2 linked regions of the Cricetulus griseus genome follow. The protein of the gene in region 1 purifies or fractionates together with the protein of each later gene. This does not show direct contact. Links are inferred from orthologs where the notes say so. Each region holds a gene or a part of one and is shown on either strand. Other genes may lie near its edges.

Region 1 (4,531 bases):
CTCTTTCTTTTCCTCTTCAGGGTAAGGGCTGGTGGAATTTAAAGAGATCGATGAGAGAAGGGACTGCCTGGCAGAAGGAGAATTTGGGGGACACAGGGAAGGTCCCTTGGGTCAATAGAGATGGTTGTACAAATACTAGGGGCCCTGGGAAGTTTGAGAGGCATTAAAGAAGTAAGGGCAGGGCTGTAGGACATGTCAGATTGGTCAGTGTGGCCTTGTTCTGGGAAAGATTGGGTAGAATTTGGGAAAACTGGTAGGTATGACTCACCTCTTCGAAAGTAGAGAAAAGCCACCAGAGAAACCATACAGATTATGAGATATACTATAGTCACAACTGGTACCATCCATCCACCAGTCCTCAACAGCCAGAGCCACACTGTGAGGAGGAAGTCGCTATAAGACAAGGACCCCACAATGCATCTAACTTACTCTCCAACCCCTCAAAGGACATTTGTCTGGGAAACTAAAGCAAGACACAGCTTTAAAGTCTTGAGCTCTGCAGAGGGCTCTTCTCTGTTCCACTAAGGAGGACATGGATTATGCCACAGAGACTGGCACAGAGCACAAGACACTATACTAACAAACCACCCACAAAGCATGGATATTATCCAAGCAATCAGGGGAAAATTAATTCTGCAGTTAAGGATAATCATGGTCAAAATGCAGGGCAGAGGTGAGTCTACCAAGTTAGATTTGGGATCCAATACATCATAAGACCATGTCTGGATGGAGTGCAAGTTGAGGTAGCATTTAAGGGTTATTATGGTCATGATAGCATGGTAGGATTATACTAAGGAGACAGCAAAGACATTGTGGCTGATGTGATGGATGGAATAAGGAAAAGGAAGAAAGTCAAGCTCCTGAACTTGGGCATGTGGGCCCATGTAGATTCTTTTGGGTGCTCCATTTGTGCAAAGCCTATTGTATAGGTGGAAAAGATGTTGAGTTTGACTTTACTTAGCAAGCCTGAGATGTCCATGGGATATCAAATGGCAGTTCCAGGAAATGGTTGGGTATGGGGAATGTGGAGCCCAGGGTAGGTATAAAGGCATGGGAAACTAGAGTCATGGGAGTAAGGATGCCAAATGAGAAGAGGGTGTGGATAGGAATGAATACAAGGCCCAGGGTTCCAACAGGGAGGGATTGGAGAAGAAGAGCTCACAGGAGAAGACCCAGAAAAACTAGTTCTCAGAAGCAATGAGCAAGTATTCAGTGTGCAAATTGGAGTTTGGGATGAGGCTTGGAGCTGATCCTAGTGCTCGGCTGGCTTAGAACTTATATTCATGCCTTGGCCGACCAAGTTCTAGGGTTACTGTTGTGCACCACCAGAATAGCGTCTGCTGTCAGTCTGTCTGTCTCTCTGTCTCTGCACACACACACACACACACACACACACACACACACACACACACACACAGGGCCTCATACATGCTAAGTACACACTCTACTGAATCACAATTCTTCCTAACCCTTCCAATTCTTCCAGTAGCTCCGCACAGATTCCCAGAATTGAGAGAAACCCTACCTGACCTTTCATTGACCTTCACATGCATCTCGATGGTCAGGCCTCCATGGAGACAATAGTAGATACCTTCATCTAAAGCTGTGGCTTGAGGCAGTGACAGAACAGGCCCCCAAACCCACATCTCTCTGACCGGGTGCTCTTCCCAAAGGCTTAGGTTCAGTAATGAAACGTTAGGCCTCCTAGGATGCACACGGGTCCAGGAGATGGAGCCTCTGGTCACTGGGACAGGGGGTACCCCACAGGACAGCCAAAGTGTGGAGCCAGGGGCTACAGTGAGATCTAGAGCAGGGAGAGAAAAGATAACGAAAGTATAGCCTATGAAGTCTCATCTCCCCAAACCCTCCAGCTCCCAGCACCATTTCCTATCCTTGGGACCCCACTTCCCAGTGTCCCCTTACCTTGGTTGATTAGACTCTGATTCAGACTGATCCTCTGTGGGGCACATACAGGCTTTGTCCCCACGACCTCAGGATGGTCTTTAGCCCACACATACAGCCAGGAACTGTTGTGGGAACCAGAAGAGGGCCTATGGCTCCCTGAGGACCTGTTCTCCAGGCCACAGTCCAAGTCCCTTACATCTGAAGCATTCCAGCGAAACAGCTCCCCTGGGAAAAAAACCCAAACCATACATAGAACATGAGAAGGGGGAGATACAGAGACCCGGAAAGGCAGAACCGGAGACACAGAGAGAAAGTAACTATGCCTGACAGAAGACTGAGACAGAGATGTGGGATAGCTCAAAGCAATTACCAATCCATAGGAACCTGCTGCCTAGAAATAACCCCTTCCTTCTCAGTCATTGTAGCCCCACCTTCTTCTGTCCGTGGAGAGACCCTCTTTCCCACCAACCCCCACTACCCAGCCGTCCCAGCACTTACCACTATCCTCCACATTCACTGTCCACGCAGGCTGCCAGGTATCCTTGAAAGGGGGCCCATTCTGACACAGGTAGAAGCCCCCCATATGGTCCGAGGCATTGACAATGACTAGCAAGATTCCCAGGGACCCCACACGCAGGCCTAGGCCTGGGGACCCTAGGCTCAGCTCCAAGAAGGGTGTTGACTGATTCCCTCGATACCAGGCTAGTTTCTCAGTAGAGTTAGGTGAGGGGTCCGGGAGGCATGGCAGCACAAGATTGCTTCCCTCTGTGGGGAGAGGAAGACGGGAGCCCCAGCCCCTTTCCCTCCTCATAAACCAAAGGACCCCAGAAGTTCACCATATGGGAAGCCCTGAGGCTCAGAGAAGGCCAGTTACTCAACCCAGAACCCAGGCTTCCAACCCCAGGTCTTTCCTTCAGACATACAGACGGACATACCTTCTACCTCTAGCAGTAGCGGCTTCTGGCTCGTGCCTTCTACAAGGGTAAGGAAGAGGAGGAAGGAGAGAGAAAGAGGAGATGGCATGGTAGCCAGGCTCCCCGGGGCACTCAGTTTCTGTGTGGCCGCGCAGAGGATGCTGGGGCAAGCAGGAGGCCGGTGGTCAATGAAGCATGGGTGTCTGTGGGGGTGGTGGCAGTCCCCCCCATAGAGGAAAGGGGTGGTCACACCTTAGGCCCCCTTTTGTAGGCACTCTTCCAGATCCACAACAGTTGTCCCCTCCCTGCCACCTACTTAAATTAACCCAAGTAGATGACATGTATGTTTCAGCATGGAAGCCCCATGGGGCAAGGCTAACATCTTCACCGCCGCACACACAGTGTTTTCCACACAGTGCGGCTGGTAAATATTTGTCAGATGAGTGAATACAGATTCCGGGTCTCCCTTCTTCTCCTTCCTTCTCCCTTCTCCAGACTCCAGGCTCTGATCCTATTTCATACCTCTGTCTCCCAAGTGATGGGATTAAAGTCATGTGCCACCATGCCTGGTTTCCACATTTTTCTTTATCGTCTGGGGATAGTATTAGGACTTTATATTGGATATAGTGATCCAGTCCTATAATTCCAGCTACTTGAGAGGATCACAAAAGTCAAGGCCATCCTGGACTACAGAGTGAGTTCAAGGCAAGTCTAAACTACTTAGCAAGACCTGTCTGAAAAAAAAAATTAATAAATTTATTTATTTATTTATTTTACATCCCGGGTGTGGTTTCCCCTCCCTCCTCTCCTCCCAATTTCTCTCCTTTAGTCTCCCCTCTGATCCCAACCCCAATCCACTCTTCTTCTCTTTCTATTCGGGAAAGTGCAGGGAAAGTGGATATCAACAAAACATGGCATATTAAGTTGCAGTAAGACTAAACATCTCTCCATGTATTAAGGCTGGGCAAGGTGACCCAGTACAAGGATTAGGGTCCCAAGAGCCTGTAAAAGAGTTGGAGACAGCCTTGTTCTCACTGTTAGGCACTCTGCATATATGACCCAGTTGTGTACCCTTTCTGAAAATTTAAAAATATTTTTTAAAAAGTTGATGACATAATTCAGTGATAGAGTATATTCGAGACCTAGATTCAATCCCTGCTACCACACATAGACACGTACACATACCACATATTGGGTTTCATTCCAGCTTGGGCTACATAGCAAGACCCCATTTTAAAAAATGAAGAACCAAGCAGGCATAGTAGCACACACCTTTAATCCCAGCAACTGGGAGACAGCAACAGGCATATCTCTCTGAGTTCCAAGTCATCCAGAGCTACATAGTGAGACCCTGTGTCAATCCACCTCAAAAAAGGGGAGGATTGTGAACTGGGTGTGTAATGTAGCTAAATGGTAGAGCACCTGCCTATCATATATAATTCCCTGGGTTCCAGCACAGGAAAAAAAAAAGTGTGTGTGTGTGTGTATGTGTGTGTGTGTGTGTGTGTGTGGTGTATGTATGTTTGGTGTATGGGGTGTGCATGTTTGTGTATGTGTGGTGTAAGGGGTGGTGTGGTGTGTGTGTGTGTGTGTGTGTGTGTGTGTGTGTGTGTGAGTGTGTGTGTGTGTGTGTGTGTGTGTGTGTGTGTGTGTGTGTGTGTGTGTATGTATGTTTGGTGTATGGGGTGTGCATGTTTGTGTATGTGTGGTGT
Region 2 (3,810 bases), about 16 Mb from region 1:
ATGGCGCCTTTGCTCCTGGGCTGGCCAGGCAGGGGACAATGGGCCTGGCTTTATGCAAGGAAGCTTGGACTGCCTGGCAGTGTTGCCGTGGAGACTGGGGGATGGGCTGCATCTGCTGAAGGACCAAGAGATGGAGGACTCTTCAGAGACGCAGTGGTCTTTCCCAGGGGCTGAGGAGTACTGTGGGCACTGAAACAGGGATATGGCCCAGCTGGTGCCTCGTGGGTTACAGTGCTCCCCTGTTTCTTCATGGCTTCCCAGTTTATTCACAGCCTAGACAGTGTATATGGCAGGTGTTGATGCTCTGCCAAGCTGCCCCTATCCTTCTGTCTGCCATCCAGCCACCCCACCCACAGGTTCCTGTCCTTAGGTGAACAGAGCGGTTATACACCAGTGTGCCTGAGATGAGGTGTCTGGAGTTGGCTACTGGCATAGCCTGTCCTTGCCTTCACACTCACCCAGCACTGGGAGTCCTGGGCATCAACCCTAAGCCAATAGCCGATACCCAGGCTGCTTCCCCATTTCATGCACTGAGATGGGTAGTCCATCTTAGCCCTCTACAGTGAGTGCTGAGGGTTCCTATTCTCAGGTGCAGGTAGTGGGGGACTGGCTATAGGGCAGAGCATATCTGTGAAGTGCAGATCACCTGTGTTCTCTGGGCATGGAATTGCTGTTTTTGTCCTCTGGTTGCAGTGGCAGCTCCTCCAACAGGACACTGAGGCACAAAGAGTTCACGCTGCCAAACTCTGCCTGTTGTGGGTGTGAGTGCTCCAGACACTCCTGTCTGGGGCAGTGAGGCATGCAGCTTGCTCACTGAATTCTTCCTCTCCCCAGGCATCTACATTCTCATTGCTGTGGGAGCTGTGATGATGTTTGTGGGCTTCCTGGGGTGCTATGGGGCCATCCAAGAGTCCCAGTGCCTGCTGGGGACGGTAAGTAGGAAGGGTTTCAGGGCAGGGGAGTAGTCTTCCCCAAGGTTTTGCTTTTTCTGTTTGCTTGATTTCCATTAAGTCTGACTCTGAAGACTCATGTTGACAGAGGGAGTTTCTCTTTAGAAATGCATAAACCAGTGGGGTGCCTCACCCCTAAAGCCAGCCTTAGTGTTCCTGGCCACAGTGGCTACTGATGGAGCAGAGTCTCAGATATGTCTTCTAGAGCCTGGCCAACCAGTGTGGAAAACTGAAGCACACTTCATATTTTAAACTTCCCATGGATGGAGGATAAAGGGGGTGAGGAAACTAAGGTCAGGGTTGGGGGCATATTGCTGCATGTGCCTCCCTGGAGACTGTGATCACTTGGATTTGTCTACTGCATCTCCTGTGCAAGCAGCATCCTGCAAAGCAGGGAGCAGGGTAGGGCCCTGAGAACAATAGATTATTGCATGCTGCATGCGCTCAAGGATGATCTGTAGTCCGTAAGGCTAAGATTTCTTTATTCAGATAAACACCAGCCCCCACACAAGCCAGAGCATGCCAGGGGCAGCAAGGCAGCCTGGCCAGAGAGCAGGGGCTATCCACGTGTGCGCAGTCCCTTAAGAATTCTTCCCACATCACCTTAGACCTCCCCTGACCACGCCCTCACGGGCGTGTCCCGGCACACCTGTCGGGGCTGGGGGGGGGGGGGGCGCGCTACAGTGTCTCCCTACAAAGAACTTGAACATCTCGGTGCCAAGCTGCATCAGACCCCATCTTTCATGGTTCTGTGTGGCTCATTCTTAATCAGGACATGGTTGATGGATGTGGTCAACTCCCTTGGCACATAGTTGTTGGTCATGTGGGCACCTATAGAGGGCTGGGCTTGGGCTTGCTGGTCAAGGCTCTGTTCTCGTCTTTCTTCTAGTTCTTCACCTGCCTTGTGATCCTGTTTGCCTGTGAGGTGGCTGCTGGCATCTGGGGCTTCGTAAACAAAGACCAGGTGAGCCTAGGTTCACTGGGGAGGGAGATAGGCCCCTTGCCTGGGCAACAGGAGTGAACCGCTCTGAGCCCATGGGTTACAGGGTGCCTTTTGGGTTTCTGGTGCCTGCTGGTAGAAGGGTCTTGGGAGCTGAACAGAAGAGATGGTGTCAGGTTGAGCACAGCAGGGGAAGCTGAGTGCTCTTGATGGTAGTCCCTATGCTGCAAGTGACTATGATTCTCCCCCAGATCGCCAAGGATGTGAAGCAGTTCTATGATCAAGCCCTTCAACAGGCTGTGGTGGATGACGATGCCAATAATGCCAAGGCTGTGGTGAAGACCTTCCATGAGACGGTACAGCTAGGCTGGAGCAGGGAGGGCAGGTTGTGGGAGTCCTAGTGTGTGTGATCTTTGGGGGATGAGTCCTGCCTATTTCCAGACATCAGCAACATGACAGGTCCTGGCTAAAGGTCTGTGTGATTTGTAGATCCCCAGGCAGGAACCTAATGGGCCTCATTTGCCCAGGGGTTTGGAGGAACAGGGCTCTTGAGCAGTGTGACAAACAGGGTAGAAGGCCAGCTCCCAGGTATATGGGGGTGATGGTGTGCTGACCTTGCCCTTGTCTCCTGAGGCTCCTAAGGTGACAGTGATGCTTTTGGTCTCTGCAGCTCAACTGCTGTGGCTCCAACGCACTGACCGCACTGACCACCTCTGTGCTGAAGAACAGCCTGTGTCCCTCAGGCACCAACATATTCAACTCCTTGATGAAGGTGACATGGAGTGGGGGTGGACATCATATCCTGGGTGGTAGGTAGAGTAAACATGGCCCACCAGGAAGATCAGCAGGACCTCAGAAAGGCTCACAGAACATCTCAGGTAGTGGGGTGCTGGGTCCTGACAGCCTGCGTTAGCCTCTGCAATATCCTGGGAAACTGCTGTCCAGTGGTCCCTTACACATACTGGAAGCCCTAGGGTACTAGTGAGGTCAGAAACACTATCCTGTGATAAAGAAAGAGAGCAGGTCCATGTGTTTTAAGTTTATTTTTTGGATGGAAGATAAACTGCAGGACAAGCCCCACCACTGAGTAGGGTAGTGGCTGTGACTTAGCCACTGACTGTTACCACCCTCTGGCCATCCCTGCAGGAGGATTGCCATCAGAAAATCGATGAGCTCTTTTCTGGGAAGCTGTACCTCATTGGTATTGCGGCCATCGTGGTAGCTGTCATCATGGTAAGCACAGGGCCTCTTTGGTGGGTGGGTACCACCCCTCCCAAGGTCCTAGGTGCTGACAATGCCCCTCCCTCCCGCAGATCTTCGAGATGATTCTGAGCATGGTGCTGTGCTGTGGCATCCGGAACAGCTCCGTGTACTGAGGTCCTGCACTTTGTACTACAGGGACCCTGCAGTGCCATGCCCCTGAGTGACCAGAGGCCACCTCGGGGGCCATGGCCTGTGTATATATTTCTGTATTACTCTGCTACACTTAGCCTTTTTACTTTGAGGGTTTTTTTGTTGTTGTTGTTTTGAACTTGCCCGGTATCTTTTGGGGGCTGACATCACACATAGGTGGCAGTGGTGAGTGTGGGGATATAGGGGTGGAGCTGGCCCTGGCTTGCAGGGCCCTGTACTTCTGGAACCCCTGCCTGCTGAGCCAAACCTCCTCCACAGCTGCTTGCCCAGAGGCTATGTAGCTGAGCTAGAGAGCCATGGTCACTCACCCTGCCCACTGTGGGTCACATCGATCACATCTTTTTAATCCTTGTCCCTTTCCTGTCCCCATTTCAAGAGCTGGGTTTGTAAGCACTCTTATGCCTTCAATGCACCTGTTCTTTCTAACGTGTCACCTTCAACTGTAATTACATCTGAAACAGTCATTTAATAAAGGAGGAGAAAATCAGGCATGCTAACCGGACTGTC

Evidence for each region.
Region 2: the proteins of Cd19 (region 1) and Cd81 purify together in Homo sapiens (affinity purification with western blotting, with the first as the bait; 3 studies listed by BioGRID). This does not show direct contact. The link is inferred for Cricetulus griseus from reciprocal best matches to the Homo sapiens genes CD19 and CD81.

The regions. Positions count from the first base shown.
Region 1 is NC_048596.1:74,392,374-74,396,904, reverse strand, and holds the start of Cd19 (B-lymphocyte antigen CD19), read right to left. Parts: upstream 2,929-4,531; coding exon 2,841-2,928; intron 2,671-2,840; coding exon 2,404-2,670; intron 2,131-2,403; coding exon 1,924-2,130; intron 1,805-1,923; coding exon 1,526-1,804; intron 377-1,525; coding exon 269-376; intron 29-268; coding exon 1-28. UniProt on the Homo sapiens protein: Functions as a coreceptor for the B-cell antigen receptor complex (BCR) on B-lymphocytes. Decreases the threshold for activation of downstream signaling pathways and for triggering B-cell responses to antigens.
Region 2 is NC_048596.1:58,320,062-58,323,871, reverse strand, and holds the end of Cd81 (CD81 antigen), read left to right. Parts: intron 1-834; coding exon 835-932; intron 933-1,839; coding exon 1,840-1,914; intron 1,915-2,141; coding exon 2,142-2,246; intron 2,247-2,560; coding exon 2,561-2,662; intron 2,663-3,036; coding exon 3,037-3,123; intron 3,124-3,203; coding exon 3,204-3,266; 3' UTR 3,267-3,800; downstream 3,801-3,810. UniProt on the Homo sapiens protein: Structural component of specialized membrane microdomains known as tetraspanin-enriched microdomains (TERMs), which act as platforms for receptor clustering and signaling.